Macaca mulatta: one gene and its partners. The protein of the gene in region 1 purifies or fractionates together with the protein of each later gene. This does not show direct contact. Links are inferred from orthologs where the notes say so. Each region holds a gene or a part of one and is shown on either strand. Other genes may lie near its edges.

The links. The genes of interacting proteins can lie anywhere in the genome.
Region 2: the proteins of DCAF1 (region 1) and CEP78 purify together in Homo sapiens (affinity purification with western blotting; 3 studies listed by BioGRID, with this or other methods). This does not show direct contact. The link is inferred for Macaca mulatta from reciprocal best matches to the Homo sapiens genes DCAF1 and CEP78.
Region 3: the proteins of DCAF1 (region 1) and COPS7B purify together in Homo sapiens (affinity purification with mass spectrometry; 3 studies listed by BioGRID, with this or other methods). This does not show direct contact. The link is inferred for Macaca mulatta from reciprocal best matches to the Homo sapiens genes DCAF1 and COPS7B.

What each region holds. Positions count from the first base shown.
Region 1 is NC_133407.1:114,893,619-114,897,903, reverse strand, and holds part of DCAF1 (DDB1- and CUL4-associated factor 1), read left to right. Parts: intron 1-596; coding exon 597-1,860; intron 1,861-2,710; coding exon 2,711-2,909; intron 2,910-3,386; coding exon 3,387-3,469; intron 3,470-4,285. UniProt on the Homo sapiens protein: Acts both as a substrate recognition component of E3 ubiquitin-protein ligase complexes and as an atypical serine/threonine-protein kinase, playing key roles in various processes such as cell cycle, telomerase regulation and histone modification.
Region 2 is NC_133420.1:109,198,818-109,203,102, reverse strand, and holds part of CEP78 (centrosomal protein of 78 kDa), read right to left. Parts: coding exon 4,219-4,285; intron 1,173-4,218; coding exon 1,037-1,172; intron 1-1,036. UniProt on the Homo sapiens protein: Centriole wall protein that localizes to mature centrioles and regulates centriole and cilia biogenesis. Involved in centrosome duplication: required for efficient PLK4 centrosomal localization and PLK4-induced overduplication of centrioles.
Region 3 is NC_133417.1:137,063,611-137,067,895, forward strand, and holds part of COPS7B (COP9 signalosome complex subunit 7b), read left to right. Parts: intron 1-320; coding exon 321-523; intron 524-2,771; coding exon 2,772-2,877; intron 2,878-4,285. UniProt on the Homo sapiens protein: Component of the COP9 signalosome complex (CSN), a complex involved in various cellular and developmental processes.

The sequences.
Region 1 (4,285 bases):
TTAATGTATTAAAATTAATAAATCAGAAAAGGCCGAGCGCAGTGGCTCACACCTGTAATCCCAGCACTTTGGGAGGCTGAGGCGGGTGGATAACCTGAGGTCAGGAGTTCCAGACCAGCCTGGCCAACATGGTGAAACCCCATCTCTACTAAAAATATAAAAATTAGCTGGGCGTGGTGGCAGGCGCCTGTAATCCCAGCTCTTCAGGAGGCTGAGGCAGGAGAATCACTTGAACTGGGAGGCGGAGGTTGCAGTGAGCCGAGATCGTGCCGCTGCACTCCAGCTTGAGTGACAGAGCAAGACTCTGCCTCAAAAAAATAATAAAACCAGAAAAAATTACACACGAACCTTGGTGACTTTTCCATAATTATGACATAATTTCCCTATTTAATAACTGCATATGAGATCATAAAAATACATTGTAGTAGAACTGATTGTACTTTATACAAACAATTCCTTGCAGTTTTTACAAAAATAATGTAGTTTTTTAAAGTAAAACAAAGTGAGTGGAACACCAAATTTTGACTCTGGAACAACTATTGAAATTGGTCATTAGTTTTATGATGAATAATACAGAATTTTTTTTTTCCCATTAGGTATCAGCATTATTTTGGGAGTGGCTGAGGGTGAGTTCTTCATCCATGATGCTGAAATTCAGAAGTCAGCACTTCAGATTATCATCAATTGTGTGTGTGGCCCAGATAACCGCATATCCAGTATTGGTAAATTTATCTCTGGTACTCCTCGGAGAAAGCTGCCTCAGAACCCCAAAAGCAGTGAGCACACCCTGGCCAAGATGTGGAATGTGGTTCAGTCCAACAACGGCATCAAGGTGCTCCTGTCCTTACTGTCCATTAAGATGCCCATCACAGATGCAGACCAGATCCGGGCACTGGCCTGCAAGGCCCTGGTGGGCCTGTCTCGCAGTAGCACTGTCCGGCAGATCATCAGTAAACTGCCCCTTTTCAGCAGCTGCCAGATCCAGCAGCTGATGAAGGAGCCTGTGCTGCAGGACAAGCGCAGTGACCATGTCAAGTTCTGCAAGTATGCTGCTGAACTCATTGAACGGGTGTCAGGAAAACCACTTCTCATTGGCACTGATGTTTCCCTAGCACGACTGCAGAAAGCAGATGTTGTTGCCCAGTCAAGGATCTCCTTCCCTGAGAAAGAGCTGCTTTTGTTGATACGAAACCATCTTATTTCTAAAGGGCTTGGAGAAACAGCAACCGTGCTGACAAAAGAGGCCGACCTGCCCATGACTGCTGCCTCCCATTCTTCTGCCTTTACCCCAGTCACTGCTGCTGCTTCTCCTGTCTCTCTACCCCGAACCCCTCGTATCGCTAATGGCATTGCAACTCGACTGGGCAGCCATGCTGCCGTGGGTGCCTCTGCCCCTTCTGCCCCCACTGCCCATCCTCAGCCACGGCCTCCCCAGGGTCCACTAGCTCTGCCCGGCCCATCTTATGCTGGCAACTCCCCTTTGATTGGTAGGATCAGTTTTATCAGAGAGAGGCCGTCACCCTGTAATGGCAGGAAAATCAGAGTGTTGCGGCAGAAGTCGGACCATGGCGCCTACAGCCAAAGCCCAGCCATAAAAAAGCAGCTGGACAGACATCTTCCTTCCCCACCTACGCTGGACAGTATAATCACAGAGTATCTTAGAGAACAACATGCTCGCTGCAAGAATCCAGTTGCCACTTGCCCACCTTTCTCCCTCTTTACTCCTCACCAATGTCCTGAGCCAAAACAGAGGCGGCAAGCGCCAATAAACTTTACCTCAAGGCTAAACCGCAGGGCATCATTTCCAAAGTATGGAGGGGTGGATGGCGGATGCTTTGATAGGCACCTTATCTTTAGCAGGTAAGAAGAAGGCCCCTTCTTACTCTCTGGGAATTGGAACGATTCTTTTATTTAAATCAAATTGGGCAGTATCAGCATAGTTGGCTTGAAATACCACTGATTGTCACTTTGTGTAATACTTGAACAATGTAATTGTATCACCTTTTGTCAACCATGGGCTCCTTGTGTGATTGTTGGCAGTATATTGATATAATCCTTTGTGTTCTCATCTCAACTAGTATGTTTTCTAGAACCCACACCCCCTCATTACTGTCCATAAGGAGGCTCCCAAACTTGTGCTGTTGCAAGTGGCTTCCTGTTCTGATTCTTGACAAATCTTACATAAAGGTTATGGGATCACAGGTTTTAAACATGGGAATTTTTTTTTTTGTTTGTTTGAGATGGAGTGTCTCTGTCGCCTAGGCTGGAGTACAGTGGTGCAATCTTGGCTCATTGCAACCTCTGCCTCCCAGGTTCAAGTGATTCTCCTGCCTCAGCCTCCTAAGTAGCTGGGATTACAGGCAGGCGCCACCACATCTAGCTAATTTTTGCATTTTTAGTAGAGATGGGGTTTTACCATTTTGACCAGGCTGGTCTTGAATTCCTGACCTCAACTGATCCCCCCACCTGTGCTAGGATTACAGTTGTGAGCCATTGCGTCTGGCCTAAACATGGGAATTTTTGTTATTTAAATTTGTAAGTGGAAATATTTTTCTTATTTAAAATAAAAAGCACTGAAGGTCACTGTGATTTTGGAAGAACCCATTTGAAACATTAATGTTCTGTGCTTTTTCTTCTGTCCTAGCAGTTTGCTTTTTCTGAGTCCCTGCACATTCTTTGCCTCTGATTCTCTCCTTTTTTTTGTGCTTAGATTCCGTCCTATTTCAGTGTTCCGGGAAGCCAATGAAGATGAGAGTGGCTTCACCTGCTGTGCATTCTCAGCTCGGGAGCGGTTCCTGATGCTTGGCACCTGCACAGGGCAGCTGAAGCTCTATAATGTGTTTAGTGGACAGGAGGAGGCCAGCTATAACTGTCACAACTCAGCCATCACACATCTTGAACCTTCCAGGGTAAGGGTTCCTTCCTAGGATGCTGTCAGTCATTCTTCCAAGATGAATTAGTGAACTAGAGTAAAGGAGGCTTACCCTTTATTGAGCTCTCTCTTTTAAATGAGTTCTCAACTGGAAAGTCTGGTTGAGGTTAACTCATATTTCAGATGGAGACTGAGGAATATGGCAAAGTTATTAGGAAGAAAGGAACTATCTTTGACATCGTCTCATTTTTCCCACCTCCCTTTTATCTGTTCTATTTTTGTGGCTAGTTCAGTAGGATTTAATACTCTCCTAAGTTTAGTTATTTTCTAGGACACTATAGGTATATGTATTCAAATCATAGTGGCTTCTGACCATTTCTTGGTTTCTGTGGGTTATAAAATTTTCTCTTTAATTCAACAACATTTTTATGCATATATTTAAAAATGCTAATGGCAGGTAGTGACATCTGCATGTATGTAAATGCACGGTTACCCACCTTGTGCCTTCTTTTAGGATGGGTCCTTGCTGCTGACATCTGCTACTTGGAGCCAGCCTTTGTCTGCACTTTGGGGAATGAAATCAGTATTTGATATGAAGTATGTATCTGCTTTTGGAACCTAGTCTGTGTTTTATTTACCTAGTTTGTTTAGACCCCCTTTCATTTGGTTTTTAGACGAAGCTTTTGGGGAAAGAGGATGCTGTCAGTTATTGTTAACTTCTCTCTTCCTCATCTAAGACTCATGTTTAATAAGACTTTATCTTTCTTAATTCCTAGATATTTTTATGAGGTATATACATTCTCATTATGCAGCAGACCCTGACCCAGAATCTATGTATTTTCCCGTGTTCACATAGGACATTGCCGTCTTTGCTGTGTCTCCTCTCCTCTCCTCCCCTCCCCTCCCCTCCCCTCCCCTCCCCTCCTCTCCTCTCCCCTCCTCTCCCCTCCTCTCTTTCCTCCTCTCCTCTCCTTTTCTCTCTCCTCTCGTCTCCTTTCCTTTTCTTTTTTTCCTTTTTTTTTTGTGAGACGGAGTCTCACTCTGTCACCCAGGCTGGAGTGCAGTGGCCTGATCTCAGCTCACTGCAAGCTCCGCCTCCTGGGTTCACATCATTCTCCTGCCTTAGCCTCCTGAGCAGCTGGGACTACAGGCGCCAGCCACCACGCCTGGCTAATTTTTTGTATTTTTAGTAGAGACAGCGTTTCACTATGCTAGCCAGGATGGTCTCGATTTCCTGACCTCGTTGATCTGCCCACCTCGGCCTCCCAAAGTGCTGGGATTACAGGCATGAGCCACTGTGCCCGGCTTTTTCTTTTCTTTCCTTCTTTCGACAGGGTCTCACTCTGTCACTTAGGTTGGAGTGCAGTGGCACAAGCATGACCTACTTCATCCTCTGCCTCCCAGGCTCAAGTG
Region 2 (4,285 bases), on another chromosome or scaffold:
AGGGCCTGGAAAACTCTGCTATGGAGAAAATTAAACAATTTAGCAGAATGGCTTTGGGATAAGTCTCTGAAGATGCATGTAGTTCTTATGTTCAGGATGGTTCAGATTTCCAATTTAACTTCTTTAACTGGTGATATTAATTGCTCTCTAATTCACAACTCCTTGTGACCAAGATGGGACTTGAAATGAGTAAGTATCTCAAGAAGACATGAAACTGCAGTTATTAAATGTAAGTGTAAAGACCAGGGCCTCAGCACTACAGTTTATGCAATAATAATTCACATTACCAGTTGTAAAATAAGTATAGTCATCAGTTGCCTAATAAAGATTATACATATTCAATTTAATCTGAGCAACTGAACAGATATTTCACATAGCACCTATCTCCAGTCCTATTTAAAATCAGTTCTCTGTCTTCTTAAGCAATTGTTAATCTCCAATTTCTTGAATACTAAAAGTCATTTGAAAACAATTTATAGTAATCTAATTCATTTATTAAGCATAAAATTATAGTACAACATTTTAAAAACATTCTTCTGACAAAAATTACTATGAATAGCTACCCTCTAGGTAACTGGCTAAAACTAGTTATATCTGGTTTGATTCACTAAATATGATTCACTAAAATGAGTTAGGCCAGTTGGCTAAGTTAGATTAAGTCGAATCAACACTCTCCTATGCTTTACAATGCCCTTTCCCCAATCTTAAATATCCAAATTCCTACTTCTGTCCTATAGGACTTGGTTTAACTGCACATGCTTTAAATGAAACCTTTCCTCACCTGCACAACTGGAGATAATTTCAGTTTCCTCTGGACTCCCACAAGGATACAGCTTGCTGTGACACTTAATAACTTGAAACCCTACTTAAGATTATTTTTTGTTTTTCTTCCTTAAAGGATTCATGAGGCAGAAGCCACATGAGTCATTTTTACCCTATAGACATAAGCAGAGAACTCTCACATAATAGAAGCTCCAAAATAAAGAATTTTGAATCCCATTTTTATCCTAAAAGATAGAAAATAAAAATACCCTACCTGTGCCTTTTTGCACGTTCTGCAGTACGCCATGGCAAGAAACCAGACACACCAGGTGGTAGAGGTGCAGGCGCATATTCTTTACCAAGGGAGTGTTTTCTGCCACTACTTACAGGTTTCTTTGTAGCCAATCCTACTTGAGAAAGTGTTAAAAAGAAAGAATTAAGATGCACTAAAGGTCTACAGATTAATTAGCACATGTGCATACTCTTAAAAGAATACCAATGGGCACCTGACAATGACACCAAGGCCATTAAATCAGGATCAATTTGTAAGTATCTTTTTACATAGGCCACTAATAAATATAAGAATAAATATATTTTAATATATTTAAATATAAGTTAAAAATGTAATAAATATATAAAAATTAAAAATATAAGTTGTCTAGAGTAACAAGTTATCACTTTAACTAAAATATAACTTTAATATATGAGACATGCAGAGCATGAAAAAGTAAATAAAACATGTAACCCAAAGAATGAAAGATTATATGTGATACATTTCATTATGCATTATGCAGAAATATTGTTATTAAATCTCAGAATATTTTTGGCATTCCTGAATCTCAAGGACAGAACATAGATATACCCATGACTCCTACCAAACAGAACCTTCTGAATTGGACCAAAATTTCAATGTGAGATTAATTTTATCATGGAAAAATTATCCAAGTTATAAGAGTGAAGGTAGCTGGACTAATTTTATAATGTAAAAACTATCCAAGTTGTAAGACTGAAGGTAGCTGGGTAGTAGGTGAGTCAATGTTGCCGCCTGTATGTCTGTCCACCTTCAGTGTTCATTTGCTTTTATAGAATACAAAACAAACACATGAAACCTATTGGATAAAAGAATGAAGCATAAAGTCTTATCCTACATTTCAGTATTAAAGAGTCAAGTATCTTTTTATGAAACATTTGGTAGCAAAAGCTAGACCTATTAATATTTTATTTAAAACAAATTATATATTAAAATTCACATTTAAATATATGTTTCTGATATCGCTGAGAACAAATAATACAAGTTTATTAAAATGGTTATATTTATCCTTCCAATCTATTTTACTATGTAAGATCTACTTTAGCAGCTTTAGGACAGCATCTACAAGAACGTGTATGTGGTAATACAGGACAAATATTTCCCATAGTGTAGCTTATTGATAATCACCACATCATGTTGTGCCATTTCTCTGGACAAATTTATATACCTCTTAAAATATATAGGAGCTCAGTTCATTGTATGCTGTTATTAATATAATTATCCCAAAAAAAAGTTCCTGTGTATTGTTTGTGGTGTGTGTAGAAAGTAATGCAAATATAATTTTTTTTTTTTGGAGGAGTCTCACTCTGTCGCCCAGGCTAGAGTGTAGTGGCACAATCTTGGCTCACTGCAACCTCCACCTCCCAGGTTCAAGCAGTTCTTCTGCCTCAGCCTCCCGAGAAGCTGGGATTACAGGTGCACACCGCCACACTCAGCTAATTTTTTGTATTTTAGTGAAGTTGCCCAGGCTGGTCTCCAACTCCTGAGTTTAGGCAATCCACCCGCCTCGGCCTCCTAAAGTGCTGGGATTACAGGCGTGAGCCACCGTGCCCAGCCACAAACAGAAATTTTAGTTAAAACCAAACTAATTTACTTATCTTGTTAGATGATGAAAAGAATTATAGTGGAAGTTTCCTATCTTCTGTCTGCACACGTAATTGCAATATGAATGTAACATAATTTACATAAATTATATAACCCCTATACTCACTGACACCTATTAAATATACAGCCAGACACTGATTTGGCTTACCTCTGTGTCTCCAAATAACTGAGGCAAATACAAAAAAAGCCCAAGAAATAAAGTTACTCTTAAAATAGCTCAGTGAGCTTGTAAACTTCAGTTACATTTCCAATTTCTTTAATCATGCTAAGAAAAAAGATTTTTTGAATTCTCATTCAATGATGTCCAATTATATACCACTAGCTACTAAAATTATAGTATTTCCAATGTTTTATATTTTATGTTAAATTGTTTTATATCTTAGCCATTTTTAAGCATACAGTTCAGTGATATTGTCAAGTGATAGCTTTTAAAAATTTCAAGTAGCATCCAAATAAAAGATTATCTGGTATTAATTGTTTGGTGATCGTAATGTACAGGGTATGTAACTAAAGTCACCACAAACCTTTTTCTGGGAAACTGGCAGATTATAAACATAAAAAAATTATTTTGTTTCCTCTGTATTAGTCTTCATGGTTTTACTGTTTCAAAATTCAAAGTTACTTACAAGAAAAGGTCACTTTCATATTAGATTTGGCTTAACTTATTCCACTGTCACTCATTCTTATCAGTAAAAAAAGGCTACTTATGACTAAAGATAATGTGTTCTAGAAAATAAAAGTTAAAGACTCTTTAAAAACAAAACGAAAATATCAGTAGAACTAGATTATACCAAATTTATATATTCAGGAGAATGTGAAATTTATGTCATTAGTTGATAAAGAGTTTATAAAGTTTTCTTTCATTACTCTTTGTCACAAAATTATAGACAATTTCAAAATTCTAGACTGTTACTTGGCAGATTAAATAAACTATAAATAGCAAACATTTATGGAATGTTTGTCTAAAATGTTCCATCTCTGGGTAATAAACTTACCTGCAGTATTGTTTTATAAGGATTACATACAATTTAAGGTTTTTTCATCATTGAAAGAAGCAAGGTGCTACCTGATTCAACAACTTTGGGTAAGAATTTGCAAGGAAGGAGGAGGAAACAAAGGGAAAAAAGGGAACTGGGAAGAGATTTTGTTTTCTATAGTATGAAAGGATAATTTTTCATTAACAACAACAACAAAATCATACAAACGCACTGCTGCTAAAACTGTCATCAAAGTGCATCCCAAATTTCAACTGCAAAGTATCAGAAGTAATCATCAATCAGAAAACATATCTAAAATCATCAATGTTGTATGAAAAACAAATAAGGGTAATTTTTAAAATGGAAGCACTAGCATCCCTTTCCTAATGATTCATTTACTATTTCTACATTCCATAAATTCTCATAATCAGAATAATTATAGTCCTAATAATCTGCACAGAGTCAAAATTGGTTGTTACCGTCAATATCATAAATGAGAAGAGATTTTGATTTTAACACACTAGAACACTAGTAGCATTAAAAAGCCAAGACCAAAAAGGTTACCAATTCTAATAGTAGCTTTTCCTTTGTGACCACTTCCTAGAATTATAGTTCTCTTTTTCTGTTTAGC
Region 3 (4,285 bases), on another chromosome or scaffold:
GTGGCATATACTCAGTAGTTCCCTTTCTCTCCGCTGGTACAAGTTTTTAGGATCTCTGCAAGTATGCTGCAGCATGTGAAATCTGAAGGCTGGGGAAAGCCAAGGAGGCAGAGAACCAGGAGGTTGCTTTCTTAGATGTCGTTGGGTCTTCTAGGTCTCATGGTTCATTTATCCACCTCTTGTTGCCCTAGCTATTAATAATTACCACTAGTCTGCATTTCCCGAGCCTAGAGGCAGCTGTTGGCTATGTGAATAATACCTGCATTTTCGCGAATGCTTGCCAGATGGTTTTTATAATGATCACATGGCCTTATCTACAGTGTATCCCCTACTCCGTGTTGCTGAAAGACCTGGAAATGCGGAATCTTCGGGAACTAGAAGACCTCATCATTGAGGCTGTCTACACTGACATCATCCAGGGCAAGCTGGACCAGCGAAACCAGCTGCTGGAAGTGGATTTCTGCATTGGCCGTGACATCCGAAAGAAGGATATCAATAATATTGTCAAGACCCTGCATGAATGGTGAGGCTGAAAGGAGGAGGGAGATACCTAGCATGTCTTTTGTGCCTCTCCTTGCAAAAATGTGATTTCCTGGTGTCAGCTGAGGGTTTGGGGTGGGCCTGTGGCTACCTGGGAGCTGGGGCTTAGTGAGCCAGAGAGTGGGGCTACATTTGTGATCACAGCTGTGCAACAACAGGAGTCATTTCAGGCCTCCTGGTGCCTTGGTTGTGAAATAGTTCTTGCCTTAAATGCAACTGGGAGCTATTTAAAAGTGGGCTATAAAACGCCCAGGGTTAGCAGGTGGAGTCTGTGTGTCCTAGCTGTGTGAGGCTAGTCCTGCCCTTTCCAAACTCACACTCAGGTTTGACCAAACTCAGGAAGGCTAGTGTTTGTAAAATTCTTTGTTTTTATTATTATTTTTTCTATCCCTGTTGAAGTTAACATGTTTATAAGATTCTTTGGATAAAAGAACTTATGTTCAAAATCAATAACATATTGGGCTAATGTTTGTGAAACACCATGAGGGACATGGAAGACAAGGAGTAGGTCATTTTAACTTGGAATACAACTCATACAAAGAATATTTGATAACTATATTCTGGTATATAAAAAGCATTGGGACATTTGCGTTTTCTCTGTTTTAATGGAATTTGATATTTACAAGAGCTGTCACACGTTCTATGAGGATTTACTGTGGAATGATTTAAATTATTTGGGGCTTATAAAGTCAGATGAACTGATTGGAGAAGTTTTAGCTCAGTTTTGAAGGAGTACCAGGGTTAGAGTATACCTGGAGGTGAGGAGAGTGTGTTCCCAGGCATGCACATGGCATGTTGGGAGCTGTGAAGCAGAGCCAGCGAGCTTCATGCACAGGTTTGGGAGAGAGAGAATCTCTGCTTATCCCCGAGGAAGCATATCCAGAGAGGAGCAGTGCCACTTTGACTCCTTGGGGCCTGATGCCCCCTGAGTTTCCCTCACTTCAGCTACTCTTACACCCCAGGACATGTGTTGCTCACTCCTCACCCCAATTTCTGTCTCAAGTGTAGCCCCAAACACCTCTGTACAACATCTGACACAAGCGGAAGTTTTCAATAGGTTACAAAACTTAGGATAAATAAGAAATAAACTTAGAAATACCCCAACACGAAAATGGTCTGGCACACGAAATCTAGTTTCTGAACCTGCCAAAAAATTGGCTGTCCTATTCTGTTTTTGACATGGCTGACACAGCTTTTTATGTCCATAGTCTGGTTTCCTGTTTTTAAGCCCCCAAAATGTTTGACATGGAGGTGCCAGACTAACTGGTTACCACAGGATGTTTACTAGTAGAGACTCTTACAACTCATGTTTAGGCGCTGGAGGTAGATTGAAACAAAATTGATAGGCTGAGGGGTACCACATATATGGCAAAATGCTCATACTGTTGGATCTTAAGTGGAGGGAATGGGGATATTCATTGTAGTCTTTCAACTTTTTCGTTTTTAAAAAAATTAATAGTGGAGAAGATAAAATAGGGTTATGGCAATTAGGAAGCAACTTAAACTTCTGAGAAAAGGAGGAAACTTCAAAACAGGATGCTTTTAGAAAATCTTTTTTTTCTGTTGAGAAAACTGTTGAGAAAAGGACTACTCAGTGCCATCTATAAAATCTATTCTACCTTTTTTTTTTTTTTTTGAGATGGCGTTTCACTCTGTCACTCAGGCCGGAGTGTGGTAGTGGTGTGGTCTTGGCTCACTGCAACCTCTGCCTCCCGGGTTCAAGCGATTTTCCCGCCTCAGCCTCCCAAGTAGCTGGGATTACAGGCGCCTGCCACCACACCTGGCTGATTTTTGTATTTTTAGTAGAGATGGGGCTTCACTGTGTTGGCCAGGCTGGTCTTGAACTCCTGACCTGGTGATCCACTCCCCCGCCTCCGCTGGCCTCCCAAAGTGCTGGGATTACAGGTGGGAGCCACTACCCCCGGCCTGTCCTACCTTCTTTAATTGTATGTGCTACACAACCATCTTCCATGAGATACACAGTTGAGAATTAAAGCTGTATTCTAAGAAACTAGCCCCAGACTACCATATTTGTCTCCTAATGTCCTGCATTATGTATTTAGAAGTACTTGTCTTTGGGCGCGTGTGAATGGGCAAGAGATGTGGCAGAGGGAGTATTAAAGGAGGTCCCTGTAAGATACTGGGGAGAGCTATTGGGGAGGAAGATTTCGGAGCCTGGAAGAGACTTCCCAGGCCATTCTGCAGCTCAGGGCTGGTGTTCTCCGTTGTAGGTGTGATGGCTGTGAAGCAGTTCTGCTGGGCATCGAGCAGCAAGTTCTGAGAGCCAACCAGTACAAAGAGAACCATAACCGAACTCAGCAGCAGGTAGAAGCAGAGGTAAGGAAGGAAAGGAACGTTTGTTTCTCTCTCCAGGGCATACCTGTTTATTCCTTTGCAGTGTTTATGTTTTTGTTTTGCGAGTCTTGTTGTAGATGAAACGAGCAGTCACCAACAAATGGGCCTGGGTTAGGTGCTGGGGTACAGGGATGAGTGTGACACGGCTCCTACTCTTGGTGTTCTCTGTTTTTTCCGATTCCTGGTCAGCATAGGGTGATCGATCAGGCTTTGAGAACAGAGAATGTTGTAGTTTCAGTACACATGTACTTTGCAGCTGTAGAGCAAAAGAAAATGAGTTTGGGGCTGGATCTTAAAAATGGATAGAAGGATGGTGATAAGTTACCAGGTAGAGTGGAGGGAGGGGTACAGCTGGGCAGGGGCATGTGGGGCTTCAAGGCCCTGGGAATGTTCTGCTTCTTAAGTTGCGTGGTGGGCACCTAGTTTCATTTTATTCTTTTTGTCTGAACTGTACATATATATTATAAATGTGTAAAATGCGTGACATATTTCATATGGAAAGAAGAAAGGGATAAAATTTGGCAGATGAGCTGCAAGTGAAGTTAAAAGGATGTAAGTGTGGTTTTATGACACCTGGCTGTTGAGGAAACTTTTAGCTTCTTGGACAGATGTAGGCCCCAGCCTTTGCGTTATGGGCATTTGTGTACGTGTAACCTGACACATGAAGTGACCTCACTTCAGAATTTATTTGGAGCCCTGAAGATCAGAAGCACTGATTTTCCGTAGCATTGGAAGTTCTTTTCTAGGGTGGATGGGGTTTGAAGTATTAATGATGCTTAATGAATTTTGAAAATCAGGTGTCTAAGAGTATGGCAGAGTGGGACCCGAAATTGCAGCTAAGAAGCATAAGAGATGAGTAGATGTGCCTTTCAAAGGGGGATTTGTGAAATTTGGAGTGATTCCCTGTACTGTTATATGCACTTCTTGAAAATAAAACCTGTATCCTATTTGTAAGGCGAGCTTCTGGTCCCATGCCTAACCCATAGTAGGTACTCAGATGTTCAACTGACTATTTCTGGCACACCATGAAAGTGTGTCAGTGGACTGCTGCACTCTGCTTTTCATGAACTTGAGCTAATTTTTTTGAATACACACACACACCACCCTATATACGTATACTCTGTGGATGTTCAATTCATAGACCATGTTTAATCCTACTGGCCAAGGAAGTATGAGGCTGGGTGTAGTAACTCACACCTGTAATCCCAACACTTTGAGAGACCGAGGAGGAAGGATTGCTTGAGTCCAGGAGTTCGAGACCAGCCTGGGCAAGGAAGTATGAACTACATTTAACAGCCCAAAGCAAAGACAATTAGGAAAATCAGCCTGCTGTTTTTCTAATAAGCTGTGCAACCACCCTCTTGATGATGGTGCCTTTTCTCTTGGGATT